Linked DNA regions of Lonchura striata. The protein of the gene in region 1 interacts with the protein of each later gene in a biochemical or structural test. Links are inferred from orthologs where the notes say so. Each region holds a gene or a part of one and is shown in the gene's direction. Other genes may lie near its edges.

Evidence for each region.
Region 2: the proteins of MPDZ (region 1) and HTR2C form a complex in vitro, tested with the Homo sapiens proteins (3 studies listed by BioGRID and IntAct, with this or other methods). The link is inferred for Lonchura striata from reciprocal best matches to the Homo sapiens genes MPDZ and HTR2C.
Region 3: the proteins of MPDZ (region 1) and HTR2A form a complex in vitro, tested with the Homo sapiens proteins (2 studies listed by IntAct, with this or other methods). The link is inferred for Lonchura striata from reciprocal best matches to the Homo sapiens genes MPDZ and HTR2A.

Annotation. Positions count from the first base shown.
Region 1 is NC_134642.1:20,459,059-20,466,399, reverse strand, and holds the start of MPDZ (multiple PDZ domain protein), read left to right. Parts: upstream 1-4,336; 5' UTR 4,337-4,489; exon of another isoform or gene 4,490-4,496; intron 4,497-4,659; exon of another isoform or gene 4,660-4,761; intron 4,762-7,341. UniProt on the Homo sapiens protein: Member of the NMDAR signaling complex that may play a role in control of AMPAR potentiation and synaptic plasticity in excitatory synapses. Promotes clustering of HT2RC at the cell surface.
Region 2 is NC_134616.1:19,391,265-19,399,054, forward strand, and holds the start of HTR2C (5-hydroxytryptamine receptor 2C), read left to right. Parts: upstream 1-4,712; 5' UTR 4,713-5,471; intron 5,472-7,790. UniProt on the Homo sapiens protein: G-protein coupled receptor for 5-hydroxytryptamine (serotonin).
Region 3 is NC_134604.1:61,622,300-61,629,388, reverse strand, and holds the start of HTR2A (5-hydroxytryptamine receptor 2A), read left to right. Parts: upstream 1-4,011; 5' UTR 4,012-4,427; intron 4,428-4,868; 5' UTR 4,869-5,138; coding exon 5,139-5,538; intron 5,539-7,089. UniProt on the Homo sapiens protein: G-protein coupled receptor for 5-hydroxytryptamine (serotonin).

The DNA of each region.
Region 1 (7,341 bases):
ACCCTCCTACCCTGTTATTGTTAAATACCTCACCCGCGCGCGGGATGAGGCTCTCAGAGCTTGCTCCCCTTCCGAGTGGTTGTTTCCCTGTACCTCTGCCTTCTCTACCCTTCCAATAAACCCTCTGGAAATCAAAGCAGCCTGAGTGTCCTCCCACCTTCGGTGGAAGCTTTCCTTCAGCTATCTGGCTCCTGAAAACCTGACCCACTGTGCCACTCCTGGTGGTTAAAGGACCCAGGTGCCACAATTTTGGAAAAAAAAAACCCAAAAAACTGCAATCTGACAAAACCAGACACTCCTTGTAGGTATTTTGTGTCTGAATAATTTATGATAACGTCAATATGCATTGTCACTTATTTAGCTTCACTTCTCTGCTATGGGCAAGGTCTGTGGCTTTAAACAATCCTGTTTGTGTGTAAATAAGTGCCCTTTTAATTTGTCATAATTGCAAGTATTTTGTTTTGTAGTTATAAATAATTAACATACCTTTTATGATTTTTTTACTCTGTTTTACCTTACAGGGCATACTTCCCCTTGTACGTGTATGTGCAACCTCCAATATCAATAATAACTGTTATGAAGTATGTCTGCAGGGAAGACAATTTCCCAAAGAATCTTTAAAATGCAAATCTATGCTCCATTCTTGCAAATATGCATGCTTCAGGAAGTGACACTAATATTCACTACTTGCCAGCATAATAATCCAAAGCCTGTACATTTCAAACACAAAAGTTAAGAGAAAGTTCCCAATTTTTGCTCTGTATAACAATATACATGGTGTTACCTCCAGTAACAGAAGTAACTGTGTAGTTACACCATCTGACTTTTGCAGTGTACCTTTTATGTTGAAATGAAGAAGAGTGTTATATTTAATACTGAATGCTTCTGCTAGTATAACTTATTCTACTCGTAAGAGCTCCATGAAAAAAGATGGTGATCCATCCTTGGATAAATGCATACTTAATATATTTAGATTAGCAGCTATTGCAGTTAGGATCATAGTTACCTTTGATCTCAGATTGGTTTTCTACAGCTTAATTCCATGTAATGCAATGAGTTACTCTTGCTTTACATAGCCATGAATAAAATTTTATGTATAATAAATAATTATCATTCTCTAACATGGAAGACGGTAATTAGTAGGTTTTGAGCTTGAAAGGTGAGCAAATGCTGTAATGAAAAGTACAATATTGTGTCTATGTATGTATATATACATATGAATATACATTAAGAAAATTATGCTGTAATATTGAAGAGTAAGGCTATAAAAGAAAAGTTTATCCAATTTTTAATCAAGGTAATACTTATGAAAAGTGTTTATTGGTCCATTTCCATGTTATTTTCTAAATTCAGGGATGGAATACTTCAAACATAAATAAAAAGTTTATAAATATTCCTGACTCCCTCACAGGGTGCTTCTAGGTCCCTAAAAAAATATATATATATTATCCATTCTGCAGTGGACCATGCAATAACAATGCCCATACCAAATATGATACCCACAGTGATGAAACAAACAATTATTGACAATTATTGTTAAGAACACTTTTTTTTTCTTTTTTCTTTTTTTTTTTTTTAGGGAATAAATGGATCTGTGTCATAAATATCATCAAATATGTTTCATAGGCAGCATCTTCTCAAAGTGAAGTCAGTACTTGTGACTCAGAGCAGAACCAGACTCTCATTTCATTGGTTAGATCCTGTTCCCATTACTATTTTAAAAGGCTGCATCCCCAACAGCAGTCTAATGAATGATTTAATGGACACATAGCCTTGTTTCTGGTGCCCCTGTTATTTCTGTAAAGGCTTTTTTTTTCTCAGTTTACTTTTCCTTCATGTTTTCTAATAAATCTAAGCAGTAAATCATTAATATTAATATTTTATTTATTTAAGTAAATCAGCAAGGCAGACATCTCATCCAATATTGATACTTCGACCATGAGTATATTATAAATTGACCTGAGAAATGAAATATATCAGGATGTTAATACTAGAGAACATAAAATAAGGGTTTATTTAGATCCCTTCCATTTCTCCTTAAGAGTCCTTTCTGACAATATTTTTTATGGATTTTGCACTAATAATTATCTTCTGAGGAAAGTTTATGATTTAAAAAATTGCTTACAATTTTTATTTACAATCACTTGAATAAGCGTTTGTAGACACATAAGCTATTTGTAGCTTGTTAAAACATTTAGCCTTGAAATACAAAGTAGATTCTCTTTTCTCACATTTGAAGGATCCCTCAAGATTATATACCACCAATGGCCACACTCCTTACACTAACAAAGCTGTGACATAACTTAAAGCATTGTGTATCACATGAAACACACCAAGGAAATAATCGATACGTTTTGACCTTTTTCTAGGAAGGGGCTGGAGAGGTCCTATTTTATAATAAAAGGAAGAAATAAGTCAAAATGAATGGCTGATGTCTTTCAAATTAATTTCTAAAGGTAGTACCAAATATATCCATGAGTCCAGTTGTGTATTCTGAACCATAACAATTTGCTTTGCTATTTGCTAGAACTGTGCCTGCATGGCTCTTCATCAGTGTCATCAGCTACTGTGTGCAAAAGCGCATTAGATTACTGTGATGCTAATTCCCATTACAGTTTTATGTTTATTGCATGTACAGTTGTGTGTTTATGAGAGGGTTCAGTTTCTGTGTACAGCTATGTTGGCATAAATATACTTATGCAAATCTTTTTAATATGGCAAGGCCTCAGGTAGCACAATGTTCTGAACTTCACTACTTAATATATACTCACTACAAGGATTTGACAAAATATAAATATAATTTAAAATGTATTTCTACTTTAAAATAGCGGTCTGTATGTTAAAAAACTTTCTGAAAGGTATATCCTATACAAAAACAAATTGAAATGGGAAGAATTATTACACAAGGGATGCTGTTGTACATTGTGAGGACTGTTGCACCTAATATTGACCAGTTTTTTGTCCAAATAAACTTAATGTAATCACTGCATCTGCTTTCAGTCATATCCTGTAGTTAAAGCCTGAGCAACAGGAAAAAATAACAATAACATTTTCTTTTTGTACTTATCTAATCAACTGTGGCTTATTCATTGAACAATGATACTTGGAAACAAACTGTAACTTCTTTTTAAAATTTTATTCTGAATTCAATAAAAGCTGATGTAACACAGAAAGTTGGTGGGACAGTTATAGATCATTCAATGTCTTAGCTACAGCAGAGCCTCTGTGTTTGATTAAAAAAGTAATATGCTTATGAGCTCATGTCAGACTGAACAATGGAACCTGTGAATAAAATCTTGAAAACTACATTTCTTAGTTAAAAAGGTGGAAGAAATATTGTTAAAAAGTTGAACTATTGTTAAAAAATATTTTAATACTCAGCAGAGGAAAAGGCAGCAATTAATTTGGAGTTTTTCAATCAACCAGCTGTAATAAGAGCAAGCAAGAGAAATATTGTTTTGTAATTCAAACTTTTCCAGAATTTAATTTTCCAAATAAAAAAAAAAAAATCTGAACCATGCTATGTACAAATATAAAGTATACACATTAAGTGTTCTGCTAAAGAAAGTGTTTGTACTGGGATTGCATTTATTGACACTATTGAAAATAGATAGGGCAGTACTCCATTCTAGCTTCATAACATTAGGTTTCTTTAAAATTTTTGTGTGAGGAAAGAAAAAAAAAAAGCACCAAATACCCAAAAAAGTCTACCAACCAAATAGCACCACCACCCCCCTGCCACAAACTACTAGAAGTTATGATGACTCTTAAGGTTAACATCTGTTTGGAAAAAGAACAAACTAAGCCAGAAGGCAAGAAGATAAAAAGCTCATGGAGCCTCTGCAAAGCCAGAGCCAAGACGCCGAGTGGAGCAGCTGTGGTCCATCTCCCTCTGCAGGGGGTTTACCTCAGTTGAGCTGTCTGAGAACATCGACATCAAAAAAATTATCTTATGTAAAGGAATAGGGGAAACAGTGACCTTGATGACATATGCTAGTCGAAGCAAAGTTAACAAATAGCAAAAATAATTCCACCATTAGCTGAACTTATGTTTTCGGATATTTTGTGGTCTTTACAAACATCTCTGCATTATACGCTTTATTCTTGTATGTATGTGAAACACACATCTTCCTTACTTTTAGTTAACACAATAACCAGCTGCTGCATCGATGGAAAAGTAATTCCTTTATTAATTCCACGACCTTATAAATCATTTTGTCAAACTTCATCATGTGTTGTTTGCTATCTAAGATTTTTTTTTTTTTTTTTTTTTTTTTTTTTTATAGCATTTGCAAACATTTCCTGCGTTCCAGGCCCGGCTCATCTTGTTGCACGAGAAGGGATACGGCCGGTGTCCTGGCGTTCCAGGCCCGTCCGCAGGCGGCACCGCACCGCTGGAGAGAGACAGGGACCAGCCTGCCGCCGCCTTCACTTCGCAGGCGAACCGGAGAGTTGAACCGGACCAGCCCGGCTCCTCGGTGTCATCCCGGCAAGGCGTGCGCTCCGCGGGGAGGCAAACTTCGCGGGAAGGGCCGCGCTGCAGGCGGGCAGGGACGGGGCCGGGCGCCCCGAGCGTGCCCCGCGGTCCCGCGGCCCCCGCCCGCCCCGGCGAGCCCCGCGGCCGGCGGTGCGGGGTTGGGCTTCAGGCCGCCGGGGCGTGCCCAGCGCGCTGCCCCGCGGCGCGGCTCGCTCGGCGCCGCTACTCGGGGGCGGGGAGGGCGGAGAGCCGGGCCGGGCGGTGGGGCTCGCCGAGCGGCTGGGGTAAGCAGGGCGCCGGGCCGGGCGGGGCGAGCGGGGCGAGCCCTCCTGAGTCGTCCCGCGGGGATGCGGGCCGGGAAGGGTCCTCCGCCTCGCTGGAGTTTAAGCGACCTTTTAAAACGCGTTTGTCCCTCGAACTTTTATTTATTATTGTTCATTTGATCAGAAGGGTTTTGCCGGGGTGGGGCCGGAGGAGGCGAGGCCGTGGAGCCCCGGGCCGCGGGCCGAGCCTGTTGCTGTGTCCCGGCACATCCCCTCTCCCCGCCGCCGAGCGGGGCCGGGCCGGGCTCTGGCCTGCGGCGGGCGGGCGGCTCGCGGGCTCGAGCGGCCTGGCGGGGCGTTGTCCTCACGTAAACAAAAGCCGAGACTCCCCTGACACAGGCGCGGAGCCCTGCTGCCCGCTCACGCATTCCTGTTTTACCCCCCGCGGGTGTTTCATGACGGGAGGAGGTCTCCGCATCTGCCGCCGCTGCCACCGACCGTGCCGGCGGCCGCGGCCCTCGGCCGGCTCCCGTGGGCGCCGATTCTCGCTCGCAGCCGGGGCCGGACCGAGGCCCCGCTGCCCTGGCGGTGTCCTGGGGACCGGGACCTGTTGCCGCGGTGGTGTCGGGCTGCCCGCAGGTCCGAGCCCGCGGTAGCGGTCCGGCCGCTCCGCGGGGCGCGTTCAAACGTAGCGGCTTGGGCTGGGTGGAAGCAGAGGGCAAGGGGCCACCTGCAGCTGTGGCCTTTGATGAGTCTGGCTGCTCAGAGGAGAGGGATGGTTCGTTTCCCGTGTCCCCCCTTGCTGCCAGCACCTCCCTATATTACTGGAAAGAGTATTAGGAGGAAAGAAAGAAAAACAAAAACTCACAAAGCCGACCTTTTGAACCGTGTACAGCATTTAACGGATTTGATTTGCCGTTTGCCTGAGAAACATTGTAGTTTAAAAATTTTTTCCCCTTTACCTTTTCTTTTGCTTTTATAAACACTGCATTGTCCAGCTATATATTTGTGTCCTAATATGTCTAGATTTTTTTTTTTTTTTTTTTTAACTATAAACTCTTGGATAGGAAACATCCTTACTGGCTTTGGTCCCAGAAAGGGTGTCAGGAGTCTGTCGCAGTAGGAGAGCAGAGATTTACTGAGATAAAGAGGAAGGATCTGAATTCTGTAGTTTTTGAAATTGTATTGTGTGGTGCCCTGTGCTTTGCCTATCACTTCTGTGTTTCCCAAGGAAACAGCAACTCCTTGGTAGGGAAGAGTCTAAACTGGAAAAGGAGAAAGTGGTAAAATAGTTTTTCAGTGTTACTTGATGCTTCTGTGGAAATTGAAAGTAATTGTAACACTAAAAGAAAAGAATGCAATTGGAATATATTTATGTATTTTGTATGTATGAGACATACCCACCTTAACAAGCAGCATTTTTAGACAGAGCACAATTTTTTGAAATGGTTATCAATTTTTGTTTGCATATTTTTATGTCTCCTATCTTGTTAACAGTAACATACATGTAACATTTAATGATTAGATATAGTGTTACTGTTGGTTTCCTTAGTGCTTTGTAGAAGCTTTTCACTAGGAACTGGATACATTCTCTCCTCTTTACGAAGAAATGCGCTAGAAAAGTTAGATCACTATCAGCACCAGGGAAAGAGAACTGCACTACATCGGTACTAATGGATCTTTTTATTCCACCTGACCCTGGTGGGGTCCTGGTCTTTGAATTCTTCAGGCAGGAACGCCTTATATCTTCTCAGTCATGCAGATAGCTGTAGATGGTTTTGTTTTAACAAGTAGCACTTATTCAGTATATTGAGAAGCATTTTGAATAACTTTTTAATCTCTGCTCCATGTTTCACACACACACACAAAAAAATTGGTGAAGTGCATCTGGTACATTTTTTAATAGGCATTATTTGAGCATCCTGGTGAAGCAGTTTTGGCTAATATAATACCATGCTGACAGGATACTATATTATCATTGATAAGGACAGTCATGTTTCACTGCTGGTGTTCCTGACAAGTCAATACAAAAATGTGCTATTTTTGGCCTTGGCAATAATAGCATATTTCTTTTGTAGGCTACTCAGACCCTGTTCTTACATCTGAAACCCCTTGCACAGTGGTCTTCTTACACAGTGTTATGATTTTCTGTATAAATAACTTGTTATTGTCAATACACAAAGAGAAATTTGTGTTTTAGTTTGTAGAGAAAATGATGACTCTTTGTTGATGCTAAATGGCAGCTGTTTGGAGAGGCTTTGTATGCTGTTGTCACCTCTGTGAAGAATCCAATATACATTGAGGTGCAGCTGCTGTAAAATCTGTGCTTCACCAGGTTTAATTGAATTTAATGAATATGGTTATCAATTGCCTATGCTTGAAAACATAAAGAGCCAGTATTAATCATTCCTGTATTTCATCAGTTCGGTATATGTAGTGTCCCCTATATTCTTCATATGCTAAAAAGATGCTTTTCAGTTTCTGAAGCTAATGTGGAAAGATTCCAATTGATCTTAATTTAAGATATTTACTGATTTTTTTTTCTTTTTTGTAGAAGATTATCTGTTTCATTAACCAAAAAGATTCAAACAAACCCCACCA
Region 2 (7,790 bases), on another chromosome or scaffold:
GTCCTCTTTGAGAGCTCATTGTGAATACATTGATTTGTACTTGTAGATATCAGGGTTGATTCTGTCTATATGGTTTGGCCCAGATGTCTCTGACTACAGAGAACATTCAATAAGATTATTGTCTGATGAACTGTTCCTGTGCCTATATTAATTTCTCAAATACATTTGAAAATTTCAGAGAAATCAAGGCTGACTTCTCAGAAGTAGTTCAAGTAGGAAGCCTTGATAAAGGTGAAACCAGCTAGCTTGTAAAAGGCAGCTGGGGGGACCTTATAATACCCAGGCTGTCCAAACATGCTCTTTTGACTCTTTACCAACACATTCATTGAATTCTGCAAACCTTAGAGGGCAAATACTTCCATTTCTAAATCACAGCTACAAGGAGGGCTGTGGAATTCTAATGTCTAAATACAACGGAATATTTTCAAGCACAACACAAATACTGATTTAAAACACAACAAAACAAAACAAAAAAAAAACTTGCAAAAAACCACAATACTATGCTGATATCATAAAGATTCATAATCAGTAATATCTGCTTCTAAACAAGCCAAGTCAAAAGAGTTGGTTTTTGTCTTGCAAATAGGGTGTTTGAAAGGATATTTAGGTCTCTGATGTCCCTAGTTTTTCCCTGCAGTGAAGTCCAATTCTAGTCAGCATACGCCTCCTTGGGTACACACTGCACACTCGTCCTATGATGTTTCCCAGTGAGGTGCTGCAGACTGGCAGTGTGTCTTGCTTGGATGCTGATGCCTTTTCTGAGCATCTGAAGTTTTTCCAGTATAAATAAAACTCGGGACTGATGGCTCATCAGGCTAATGTATGTGTGAGTGTTCAAAACTGTAAATGCTTTGGTTGTGCATTTTGTTAGTTTGGCTGGGAGGCAGTTTCTGAGCAAGCTGAGTTCTAAAGGTCAGTGCTGTTGCTTCCCAAACTCCATGCTCTGGTAGCTGCTATTGCACCTCTCTTCTGGCTGGAAGCCCCTCACTCTCAATCTGGTCGTTCTGAACTCCAGACATCCATGGGGTCATGGTAGGTGCTCAATAGCTGGTTATTGGTAGGGGCTGATAAGAAAGACTGAAGAATGATTTGTGATACAAAATGTTGGGAGCTGCTCTGTTAAGCAGCCTGGAGAACAAGTTCAGGGAACCCTGGGGTGGAAGGCTTGGCATATGCCAGAGACTGTAATTTATTTCTAGCCAAGAGTTTGTAGGTGAGATGATGCTACTCTGTATGGACAGTTGCCTGGAGCCTTCTGATGTGGCAAGGTGTTATTTTATATGGCAACGTTTAAAGCTTTCTGAAATTGAGTGTTGATACTCTGTGTATTGTGGCCATCTCGACTGTGGCATGTGCTACATTAATTACCCTTTACAGATTTTGGGCATATGTGTGAAATGTCCTTCTTAGAGAAGCTTTCAAAATTTTCCAATTTTTTTACTTCCACAATTTGTTTTACTTGGTCAAAATTGTCAGTTCATGGTCTATAGAAGAGCTGTTTGCTGTACTGAGTATGGCTCCTACAGTGTGTAAGAAAAAATGGGTGCAAGGCTGTGGGGGGACAATCTCCCTGCCTGTTGTTTACCCAGGGTGTCCTGGCATCTTCCAGTGCTGCTCTTGCCCTTGTCATCTGCAGGAGTTCAGGCGCTTGCAACAATGGATTGGCCAATTCAGTGCTTCACTGCATGAAGTGCACAAGTGAAACTCTGGCCACCCCCATCACTCGCCAGAAGGCTGAAATGATTGTGCTGACATTGCTTTTCACACTGTTTGGAGCCCTTTCCTCTCACTTGTAGGGATTTTCACATGTGACCTGAAGGATGAGGTGACTGTAGAGGTTTACATGATGTATGAATTGTTCACTTAGATGCCACAAACCAACCATGATCTTTTGCAACTTGGTAACAGCAAGGCACAAACCATTCATTGGAAGATGGATTAGTCCTCATACACTACATGAGTACAGTAAAAGAATAACTATAAAGAGAGGTCAAATGTTGAGTGTCAGGAGTAGAGCATGAGATTTTGTAATATGAAGGCTGAGGTCAGTATTCTGAGATTTCTGAGCAGAGATAGCCCCAATATTTACAGGACCCATACAAGTGGGTAGTTTCATCCTGCCAGGCCTCCAACTCTCTTGCTCCTGCTTGGGTGTTTTTTATTTTATTTATTTTTTTTTCCCCCAAAGTAGCCATTTAAACTAATGCTCTTAGTTTTATAAGTCCCAGTAGGGTCAGCATGCTGGATGCTCTTGAATGTGCCTGCTGTCTCTTGGGTAGTTGTTTGTTTTGCATGGACACATCTACCACCTGGGAGCTCTGAGTTTTAAAAGGTGTTAGAGTTGTTATTCCTCAGGTATCATGTAGCAATATGTTTGAATACATGTTTCTGAAAGTTTGGAGTAGTTATAATCAGGTTTCTGACTTCCAAAGTTCTTTTTTAAAAGTTTTTAAATCCCCACTCTAATGGTGTCTGTATTTCTTACGGTTTACATTTATTTGTTATGCATTTAAAGTCTTTGAGAATGGTTGTTTTGCAGTATAGTCTAATTAGAATACATATATTTGGTGGAATATGCAGGTTAGTACAATTGTGATGTGAATTTTAGGTCTTGTAGTTGTTTGCAGACCTCTTTAATGATTCAGCTTTCTGTAGTGTGACACTTCCCAATATGATGGCTTCCTTACATGCAAATATTTTTTAGAATGAAATCTCATATTACACCAAATCTAAAAAATTACGCACTTGCAAGCATGTGCATAATTTTTAGTGGCAGACCCGGTATCTGACAGAAAGATATGACCCTGCTGACCTGAGTTTCTCATGCCACAACATTCTCTGTTGTACAAGATGGAATAACTCAAATGAACATTTGATCTTATGAATTTAATAGGTGGTCATTTCCTCTGAATTTAAAGTTGGTTGGTCCATCAGGTGTTGTAGCTGAAAAATGTAATAGTGCCTGTACACAGAATATTTCTATTGAGTGTGCTGCAGAGGACTGCCTTCTTTCAGGACAGATACTTGTAGTGATGTTCTGGTAGTCACTGTGCTGTTTTTGCATACTAATTAATGAGCTCAGGAAGCATTAAACTCTAGAAATCCTCAGCTATCTTCTGGAGAACAAATTTGATCTTTGATACTCAGGGGAGAAACTTCAGGAGCATAAATCCTTAAGTGTCTCTGCCAAGCATTTTGATTACTACTTATACATGTTTTGTAGGTCTGGTGTTTAAAAGACATTCTTTAAGATATGCAATGCTTAATAAAGGCCCTTTTGGATTAATTCACTGTGGTATTTTTGCACAAAGCTGCATGGCCTGGAAGCAGTGAAACATGCATTGTGCTTGTTTTATCAGGGGATCACGATTTACTAGCCACTACAGGAAAGAAAGTATTTGTTTTGCTGTGATGCATTCTTGTATCAGTGGCAAGTATTTGCTGGTTTTATGTTAAGGGTGCCTTCCCTTTCAGACTATTTTTCAGGAATGAAGTTACAGGATGCTTAACTTACTTTTCAACATAGTAATTTATTTTGGCTTTGTGTGCTCAGGCTAAAATATCCACACTGCTAACAGCTTCGGTCTCAGTGATGGAGGCAGGTATTGATCAGGTTAATTTTGGTGTCTCCATGGCCTTGGAGAATCAAAGGTGCTAACGGGTTGCTGTGTGATGCAAAGCAGATCAACAAGGTTCAGGGCTTCACACTAGTTTGTCCTGCTCAGAAAAACATGTTATCTATGGCAACAACGGCTACTGAGAAAAAAGTGGAGATTTTTTAATAGGGTAAATCACCCATTTTGAAGACTTCTGAGTTTCAGATGCCAGCTGTTGGGGGGTGGGGGCATAGGAGGGAAAAGGCTGATGTGGGCTGGACTTACTGGCATTGTTATTGTTGTATCTGTGCTATGACGTGATGAAAGACAAACCAGAGTATTCCAAGGCACTCAGAAGAGGGGATGAGAAGAAAAGAGAGTATGTGGCATTCAGCTGGTGCAGAGCCTGCTGCCCCAGCCCTGGGGCAGGAGGGAGGTGGCTATGGCCCCAGATGCTACAGCCAGTCTAAGACCTGCTGAACTCATCACAGCTTGAGGATATATGACACATTGGGTTTCAGTGCCTCAGCTTCTGGCTGTGTAAAACCAAGGTGCAAAGCTGCACCTGCTGGGGCCAGTGTCCACAGTGGGAGCAACTTGATTCTCCTACCAAGACCAGAGAGGGACACCATGCTCCTAGGGGGTACCAGACCCTCCTTGCCTGCTGGAGACAATCCCATGTGGGATTCCGGGGGCAGTGGCCAGTATGCCCCATGCCAGGCTGGGATGATGGTGGAGCTGCCAGTGACAGGGGTGAGCAGTCGGGCTGGGTGACAGGGGCTTGGTTGGGCTCCCGGCACAGCGGTGAAGGTGTGCCAGGCCTCCCTCCCAGCCCCTGATGGAGGCACTCGTGCTGGCCGCCCCTTCACTTCCTGACTCCCGGGTTGCTCTCCTTCCCCACACCCGGACAGGGCTCCTGCCTGGGCATATTGGCCGCCTGCAGATGAGCGAGACGCCGGGACCGAAGCTGCGGGCGTTTGCATAGTCAACAGGCACATGCGAGCAATGTGCCTTTAAGACTAGCAGGAGAGCAGTAGTATCTCCCTCCCTCCTGTTAATTGTAGCATGTTTTCAGCCATGCTTCCCAGTCACATTCGCAGGCTGTGAGAGGGAGCAGCGCTGCCGCTCGCCGAGCGGGTGCCCGCGGGTGCCGAGTGCCGCCCGAGCAGCGCTTCGCCCGCGGGCGATGGGGCAGCGCCCGGCACCGCAGAGCCCCGTGCCCCGAGCCCGGCCTGCCTGACTCTGGGTCACTCGTGCTCGTCTCGTGTCCCTCAGCTCCTCGCCCCCGGGCCGTGGCCTCCAGCCGCGGGGTCAGACCTCTGGCCGCCCCACCCTGGCCGGGGCTCCTGCGTGAGCCGCGAGCGGTGCTCCGCTGGAGCCTGGGCATCTGCAGCGGGTGATGCAGTGGGAGCCGTGTGGTGCCTGGCCGGGGATGCTGTGGGAATGCTTGGCTCTCTGAGCACAAAGTGACTGCAACTAGCACGAGCCTGGGACTACTTCTCAGAAGATGCCCTGCGTGTCTCCAGTCATTCCTCTCCGGCCTCACCGCAGAATATTTGGAGTTGCTAGCTTTCTTCTGCCGAGGGGGGACAAAGGCAGAGGCCTCCAGAGGGTTAAGAGCATCTGCTTTTACGCCAAGTGTTTGAGCAGGAAATAATCTGCAGAGATACATGTGCAGCAATTCAACTGCTGCTGCTCTCTCAGGCTGCTGCTGCAGTTCGGTGTGTGAGAGGAGCCGTGCTGCTCACAGAAGATGCTTTCTTGGTGTGCCCGAATCTCCAGGCATGGCAGCAGAGCCCCGGCTGTCTGAGCTGGGGTAAATGTCTCCATCCAAGAGGAATTATGTTGACTTGCTGTCTCTGTCGGCTCACGGAGGTAGGTGCTGTTGCCTGTGCAATATGCCATGATCTATTGCGAGGGGATACAGTCCTCTTCGCAGTCTGGGATATAAAATTTTTAAAAATTTTCCATGGGAACAGGGCTTAATTTGCAATCTATAACGCCAGACAGAAAATGTATGTGATTTCTTTGTGTGCACCAGGGAGGAGAGGGCAAAGGATACCTGAATGATACCTTTTCTGATTGGCAATAAAGTTGTTGCACGTAATTTAAACAAACTACCCTCTGTTTCAGCAAAATGCACCTGGGAGCTTTTACTTCTTCCTCCTATATGACCTTTCGGTGAGGTTGGCTGCAGTATGCTGGGTTATACTTTGGTTCAGAAACTGGGACACAGTGCACTCTACAGGTCCCTTCATTCTGCTCCTGTGGACATGGGGAGGACAGAGGGCACCCACACAGAGAGGGAAAATGCTGCTGACAGGAAGCTGGTGTTTTTTTGAGGAGTGAAATTACACTAAGAGGAAGAAAAAAGGTGATCTTCCCTGTGGAAGAGGGAATGTTGAAGTCCTTAAAGGTTGATCTTGATGTTCAGAAGTAGAGAAGGAAATTTGTTCTAGAAGCAGCAGTGTATGAGTCTGGGATTTGTGTTTTGCTTTCCCAGCCCTGTGAAGAGGAATTTTGTTCAACTCTAACTACTTTACCACCCAGAATCTTTGCTTGAGGATTTTTTGCACCAGTAACTGGGAGAATAAAAATCTGTCAGTGCCATCAAATTTACTTAGGCTTGTTTTGAAAGTTGCCTTCTTGAGAAATCCCTAACAAAATCAACAGCAGCTGATACTGTTACCTTCTCACCACCAAGGCATGCTCTTTTTGGTTTGTCTTGAGATCTCCAGTGTGAGTTTTATTCTGTAAAGATTAAGCTGAAATGAAAGTTTCCATTTTTCTGGAAAAGCAGAGCGTTGGGCATTGGATACCTCTTTGATTTTGTTGGCCTGGTTGACCCACATATGTAGGTTTGCCTGTTGGCTCCTGAGTGCAGACCCTGACAAGGAAGCCTGGCTGTGCAGAAGAGGAAGGTGCTGCCTGGATTATGCACCTGCATCACGTGTAGAGTGGTTTGTGTTTGTTTCTGGCATTGCAGAGCTATTGATACAGCACAGCCAACAGTGCCATTGCTGTGTAACAGTTTCAGAAGTGTTTCTGTGGCACCTTGGCAGAACAAATGTGTCATTCATGACTGCACTCTTCAGGAAAAAGAGCAGCACTGTCATCTGCACTGTAAATCACTTCAGTCACTTTTGTTTTCTTTGCTCAGGTAGCAACACATTCTTAACCAGAACGTGTTGCTACCTGAGCATTTTTGTCAGAGCATTTGTAATTGCCGCCTCAGTTTCCCCAGGGCTGCTGTGCTGTGTATCTCATAAGGAAGTCTGGAGTAGAATTCCGCCCCCTCCTTTTTTTTTTTTTTTTTTTTTTCCTTTCTGTAATTCAGGCCCAAATGCAGTCAAGAACTTTATCCCTTGTCTTTTTGCCAGAATGGGACACTTGTATGTCCTATGCTGGGTTGGAGGTGCAGAAGCAAGTCTGCTGGATTTGTTGTTGTGCATGAATCAAGAAGCCACACTCCCTGCCAGGCTGTGATGATACCTGGGAAGCAGATGCTCTCTGTTCTGAGAAAGAGGATCCCTTCTTAGCCACACACTAGGTACTCCATAGCAACTCTTATTTCTCCAAAGAGGAGAAAAATCTTCTGGCTTTCCTCAGAGTAGTGAAAACACAAATGTATGAACCTTCAGTGAAATCTCACCAGAACTGGTATAAGGTCATCTGAATGACTTCTTTTTAGAACAGCACTTATTAAAATGTGGTGGGCATTAAGTAACACCGTTGTCTGTGCAGGAAACATTTGAAAAGAATATGTATTAGTCATCCCATTTACTGCTGTTTGCACACAGACAGAATGGTGATTAGAACTGGCTGAATCAAAGCAAAATGGTTCTTAAACAAGATTTCAAGAATTGGATTGGGCACTTGCTGGCCAGCAACTATTTTGGTCATCTTTGTGCATCTATTCCAGCAAGTGTCTTTTCAAAAGGTTGTTCTAGAAGAACATCAAAATCTTGGGGTGTATTTCCATGTGCTATGCTCTGAAGAAGTGGATGGGAATATCTTCCCTACAGCCTTACTTGCATCTGCTCAGGAAAAAAAAAAACAATGTATTTGAACCACTGCTCATTTCTGAGCAGCCTTTCTGCTCAGCACTGAAGTTGCTATTAAACTTTAACTATGTGGAAGTTGAGAGTTAATAATGGTAATTTTTAAAACTTAAGTTTATTAAATCTGGACTGG
Region 3 (7,089 bases), on another chromosome or scaffold:
AGAGGAGTGTTTTTAGTAATTCATCCTGATTTGTAATAGCTAGCCTCTGATTCACATCCAACAGTCCCTGATGCATGCTAACAGAGACACCAAACTGTAGTAGTCTCAACAACAACAAAAATTATTCACATTTCACTTGCCTCACTTTTAGAAATCAGTCTGATTGATTAACATCCTCAGTTACTACTACATTTATGGATTACAAAATCTATTCAGAACATCAGAGAACAATGGCAAACTCAGAAACTGGGAATTTTTACACCTGAATCAATCCTGAGAACACAAATTTGAATTATGTAAACTAGGTTTTTAACTGCTCCTCTTTCAGACAAAAATTGTTGAAAAGCAGCATTTCTAGGAAGTGTTTATGTGCACCATGCCAAGCATAAAAACCCTACTGAAGAGAACAGAATAACGTCCTACAAAAAATTTCCAAGCAGAGCTAGGGACCAGGGGAGGGGCTGAGATGAATTTGTTACATTGGTGCCTTCCAGAAATTAAAAAGCAATGTGCAGTCTGTTCCCATGCCAGCTGTGTTTCTAGAGACTGCTTTCTGTCTACCACAGACCACATTATTGCCATTTTAAGCTAAGATTTCACTTAATTTCCATAGGCTGGGACAGACAGCAGCTGCCTGCTCTTAGCGCAGACGCGCTGCCTGGGAGTGCAGGTCGCAGCGTGCGAGGCTCTGCTGCCACAGACTTGCAAACTCCTTTGTTTAAAATAGAAGAGCATGGAGCCTACAGTTTTCCAGAGCTTTCCACCTTTAGGAAAAGCAGTGGTCAAGGCTGGTTTGGATGTGACTGATCACCTAGGAGTTATTCCATGCTGAATTCTCAAGGTAGAGCTCACGCTTGGTTTTGCAGATGGATGAGAGCCCTGGTATTCTCTTTTTGTTGGGCTCTGCAAACAAAGATTGGACATTTCCTTTGCTTGATTCCTGCAGTGATGCTATATGGAAGGAAAACAATTTTCAGGTTCTTGGGGTGAGGTGAGATGAGTGATTTTGCAGTCTAAATAAAATAAAAATCCTGAGATAAATATTACAATAAATTCATGATCAGTTGTACATCCAACACACACGCTAGAAGACATAAGATCACAGTTTTTTTCTGATATGTCAACCTGCACAAAGCTGGTTTCTTATTTATCAATGCTTCATGTGCAAACCTAAAAAAATTTTAAGATGCCTGTGCCTCAGTTTCACATATGCCAAATTGCTTTCTGTCGGGAAAGCTAAGTTTCCAGAAGGTACTCAGACCCTGTGGTAGATACTCAAATGTCTACAGCTACACCACAGTAAACAGTGCAGTCCTTTAATGAAGAGCTTATGACTGTAGCTGCAAAGGTCTTAGGCAAGGCAACAGTTAGCTGGTTTGCACTTTACTTTTATGTTTTTGATGTCCTGAATAGAGCTGCAGATTTAAATGAGTCATTGCACACCCCCAACCATACTGTTTGTCAAGGTCCAACTCAGGCCAAGTTTGGAGGAAATTAACTTCTGTAGCTGGTATGCAAATATGACTATAAGTCAATTATCTTACTTCATAAATAGTGAACAGCCAGGGCTTATTGATCTCTCCTGCAGGGCAGTGGATTGTCTGCCAGGGTCTTGGCTTTGAGTAGTAGTTCTCAAGGTCACTCCTCAGAGTTGAGAGATCCCTTGACTCAGGAGATTCTCAGTAAGTGAATAATAGCATGCTAAACTCTGAAATCTTAGCTAAGTGACACAAAAGATTGATTGTGAACATATAATCCTTGAGATATAAACCATTGACTAAGTCTAAGTTTGGAATTAGGCACACATAAACTCCATTATGAGAAGGCACTTAGAACACAAGGAGGTCTTTTCTGAACCTCATGACTCAACAAGAGAGTCTTTCTCCCTGTCTCTCTTATCTGACCCAGTCCTCTGTGCCATAAATAATCAAGTGCACCTTGTCATCAGATCTTACTGAACCCTTCTCACATTTACCATGAAGCTTGACAAAATCACTGGTTTATATCAATAAACCTGTAGCTATTCTCTCTTAGGAGTGACATCCATGACACACCCATGACTGCTATGCTATAGCAGTCAGAGCCCTGAGCCAACCTTCTAAGAAAACAACGGGACACCTGGGCTCCTCACAAAGGTTGTATGTAGCCCTAGCCAAGAGGTGCTGTGCCCTGTTCTGCACAGTGGCTGCATGTCACCACAGGCCTTCAGCTGGGTAATAATTAGTATTGACTCCACAATTGTAGAAGTTTCATCAATTGCTTTATTATATCATCTTATACTATATTTTACTATACTTATCAAAAAACTTATTAACTCTTACAGCTAGTCTGATACAGCTTTGACCTAACTGGTCAATCTATCTAAATATTATCTAGTGTTTATTTAAGAAATCACCCTTTAGTAAACAAATCTCCATGACACATTTTACATGTGCACAACAGCAGGTGCGAGTGGAGATAAGAATTGTTTTTCATACTTTTCTCTGATCTTCTCACAGCTTTCCCTGGGAAAATGCCTGGGAAAGTCTGTGCCTGCTCTCTGTGGCCAGAGAGCTGCTGCCACAGCTGCATTCAGCAGAAGTGGAGCCCACCCTCTGTATCAGATATGCACTATCATATTCATAGCAGTGGCCACCAAATCCTCTGGAGCATGGATGCCAAATTCACTTGGTGAACACAGTACCCTATTTGATTATTGTATGAAAGGAGAGAGGAAATTTCCTCTTCTGGCTTCTGGGTGAGACTGCCAGAGCTAACACATTTCTTGCTAAACTCAGCTTTATCAACTTTTTTACCAGTTTGTGCTGTCTGATAGTCTTCTGGCCTCACCTATGGGACTGGGAAACTTTATTACTACCATGACACATTTCCAAGTCCCACATGGGTATTAGTGGAAGCTACTGCGTCATTTTCCCAGTCTTGCTGGGTTCACCTGTGAGTAAAACTGGCTCCAAAAAACTACTGAGAAAGGCTTTCTGTAACTGTGCCCCAGTTACTGATCTGAATGGGCATCAGTGTGTGCTCTGAGACTCACTTTGGAATGGTTTTGGGTCCATGAAGAGATTAGCACATGTCAGCTGAGCTGTAGTAATTCTCCATATGCTTGAAGTTCCCTGGGATCTGCAGCAGAGTTGACAGTGCTGCACACAGAGCTGAGCTATGCTAGCAGCCTGCAGCTCCCAAGGGTCTGCCAGGAGCCACGGGTGCCCAGTGACACTGGCACCTCTCTGAGATCTCACTGAAAACTTCCTGAGCCTGCCTGTTTAAAGCCATTGCCCTCAGCATGAGGGAAGTCTGCAATATATCTCAGGATGTGCAGGCGAGCAGTACACCCATTCAGCCAAACTTTTGACAACTGTAAGTCTCAGAAAGTCTGTGAGCTGAGTATTTTTAGGTGGAAAATTGAAGACTCGGCTATTTCTTCATGTGTGTCCTGGCAGCAGAAGTATAAGGCAGAAGCAGTGTCAGACTGTTTTGTTTCCCCTTTGCTCTATACACACATTGCTTTACAGAACTGCTTCCTTTGGGATGCCTGCTTGGGACAGGCTGCTGGACTGAGCTGTTACATCCATCTCCTGACAAATGAGTATGACATCAGAGTGACTTCAATTTTTTATAAGTATCTGTTGCCAAGTTGATTCACACGTCAGCACAGACCTGGAGTTAAAACTGAAGGGGACTGAATATTATTATGCCTGCCTTTTAAGGTTGGTGGAATTTCCCCTCTTTAGGGAAAAAACTTCTCACATGTTTCACTCGTATCTACCATCACAAGCCTTAGATTTTGTCTCTCTCAAGCCTGCATCCTGTAAATCCCTGTAATTGCATGCAGCTGTTTGTGAGGCATCCACTGCAAACTGAAAGCATGTTTTGAAAAAGCCCCCAAGCAGAGAACCTCTAAAATAAGCACTGAAAAAGCTGCTGGCTTACCAAAAAGACCCCCTGTGCTCTGCCCTCCCCTGCCCTCCTCTGCTGTCGCTACCTTACAGTTTCTGACATCCAGAGAGTGGGAGGTCTGACAATCCGAACAAGGCAGCAAGGGAGAAATTCCATTCCTGTTGCAATCAGTAATTCCTCCGTGCAGGCTGCTTTCTCATGTGTGTGCGTGCTTGCTTTTGTGCCACTTCAAGAAGGGCTCTGATATTATTATTACTTTAAATATAGCTGCCCTGGGGCGGGGAAATGCACAAGGAAAGAGCCGGCGAGCAGCCTATCTCTCAGAAGAAAAGAGCAAGCCTCGCAGCACAGGAACTGGCTTCACTCAAGTGTGTGCAGTTTAGAAGTCAAAAAACTATTTGAAATAGCACCGTTGTGGAGGAGGCTGAAGAAAAAAAGACACGGAACTGGCTAAACACAGCGAAGAATATTGTAAACCAGGGTGCCAAGTGCATTTATTTGCAGTTTGAAAGTGGGCTCTGAAGTGCAATGTAAGTCTTCCTTAAATTGTATTCTTTTATAACAGTATCTAGTTGTTTAATTTCCATTCTGAAGCCATGCTGAGCCAAAAGGTACAATTAGCTACAAAAATCAGCATGAAGCAGAATGTGTAGTCTCTGATATGAGGCTGAAAATGATTCTGAAATACAACAGAAGACAGAGACTATCAGCCATATTATGGAAGATGCACTATAAATAAAAGCATATTTAATTATTTCGAGAGAAAGACGTTGGATGGAATAATTAATCAAGATTCTTAATAGAGAATCCAGAGCTTTGCTGTTTAATACGGCAAGATATTTTAATACTGCTCTGTTTAAAATTGTGTGATAACAGTTACCAATAGCAATAAGATGTAGCTCCAGAGGGGAGTCCTAGTGGTTGCAAAAGTTTTATGTCTTTTATTTCTCCAACATTTTTTCTCTCTGAAGCCTCTCTTACAGCCCAGTTTTACTATCCAGCTGGATTTTCAATATATGCCAACACTGGACTTCCTATGGAACTGAAAACAAAACATTTCAGCTTTTGGAGTAATTTTGGTATGTTTTTCTACATTGCACTAGTGGCAAAAATACAGTCGACAAAAGATTGTGTTCCCTCAACTTCTGACATGGGGAGCTGAGGAATATAATGCCCAATGGTGACAAAGGGTGATAATTTCCTGTTTTTCTCAATTTATCTCTGTGGTTTTGGACTTAGCAATGGATATTCTTTGCGATGGAGTGAGCTCTGTGAACCCAACTGCAAACTCCTTCATACAAATAAATCATGAGAGAAGATTCTACAGAAATGTTTATGGAGCTGCAGAAATTAATATATCACATCTCTGCAACTTGACTGTGAACTCTGACAACCTAACCAATCTTTCATGCGAAAGTAACATGAGCCCACCGTGCTGCCCTTCACAGAAAAATTGGCCGGCTTTGCTGACAGTAATAGTGATTGTTTTAACCATTGCTGGAAACATTCTTGTCATCATGGCTGTTTCACTGGAGAAAAAACTACAGAATGCCACTAACTATTTTCTAATGTCACTTGCAATAGCTGATATGCTGCTGGGTTTCCTTGTCATGCCTGTGTCCATGTTGACCATACTGTATGGTGAGTATCAGCTGTGTAACCTACTGCATGTATTGATAAGCCTTAAAGATTGCATGCAATAACATCTTGTTGTCATTATGATTTCATTCTCTTACCACAGAAAATTATTATCACTCCATATAAATTGAAATATATGTCACTGGTTAAGGCGTGGAACAGGTGAAGTACTTGAATCTTTTCCTAGTTTATATTTCCAGCTACAGGCATTTTAAACACAGACCATAAAATCAGTTTATTATTCAGTTGTCAGATGTATTGACTCAAAGTGTATATGAAGATGCTTTGTTCTTTCTATTGTTTTCAGATTTTTTCCCTGGCTCATAATTTTCATGTTCCCAATGAGAATGAAGGGTCCTGCCAGTTACTTTGCTCTGCAAATATGCACTGAAACACTAATGACTACTTTTAGATTCAAAGTAGGCATCCCTCTCAATTATTTTTAGTGAAGTAATATAAATGTAAATAATTTTCTTATCACCAATACCCTGCTTAGACAATCTATTTACTAGCAAATGCTGGAATAAATATTGCATGAACTAAGAAATGGATGGGCATTAGTAACATTTACAAATGCAAAACTATAATTTCTTAAGATAAGTTATTTAAGTTAAAAATGACTCACAGTTCATGCCCTTGCAGGTGATTAATAGCACATCTTTCTTCCCATTTTCACCAAAATCATTTGCAGCACAGCTCACACCAGAAAAAGCAGCACCCTTTGTGTTCAGCACTAATTTTGTCAGGCTGTGACCGTCCCTAAACTTCAGAAATGAGCCTTTCAATGCTACTGAATTGCTGCAGTTCAAAGAAAAGCTAGGCATTGTCAGGAGAGTGAGATTGTTCTATTACTTCACTACTTTGGGACTTAAGGTTCAAACGTGAGCCTGTGCTTAAAGGAGATTTAATCCGGAAAGTTGGAAGTTTATTTTCCATTTTCAGTATCTCTACAGAGATAGCCCGCAGCAGCATTTGCAAACTGCATTTGGCATCAGTCACGGTGCCACACCGCGATGTGCCGTGTCAGTGTGCTATTATCTCTGGCGGGAGAAACGGCGTGAAACAGGAATTGTCCGATGGGTGAGATTTAAGTGCTGCGTGATTCCCTGCGACAAGCAACAGGGACTCCTGCTGGCCAGGCTCCGCTGCCGAGGGCAGAGACGGCCGAGCCCCGTGTCTGGGGAGGGATGCGGGGGTGCGGCGCTGGGTGCCGCTCCCGCCCGCCGGGAAGCGCGGCCCCGTCCCGGCGGAGCCCGCGCCGCCCGCCCGCGCTCCCGGGACACGCGAGCCGCGGGCCGGGAGGCGCCGGGGAGCGCCTGCCTCGCCTTTGCCTCCGCTCTCCCCGCTTCTTCCCCTGCTAGACCAGGCATGGAAGCAGCATAACTTGGCGTGAAAAATCATCTGGTGGCACCCACTGGTACCAGGAGAACCATCTTGGTGTGGTGCACCATCAACCTCCAGGATCATCAGTGATGGCATGGAGGGAAACCTCTCCTTCCACAGGAGCATTTTCTTGGCCGCAGCTGCTCAACTTCAGCCGCATCACCCATGCTG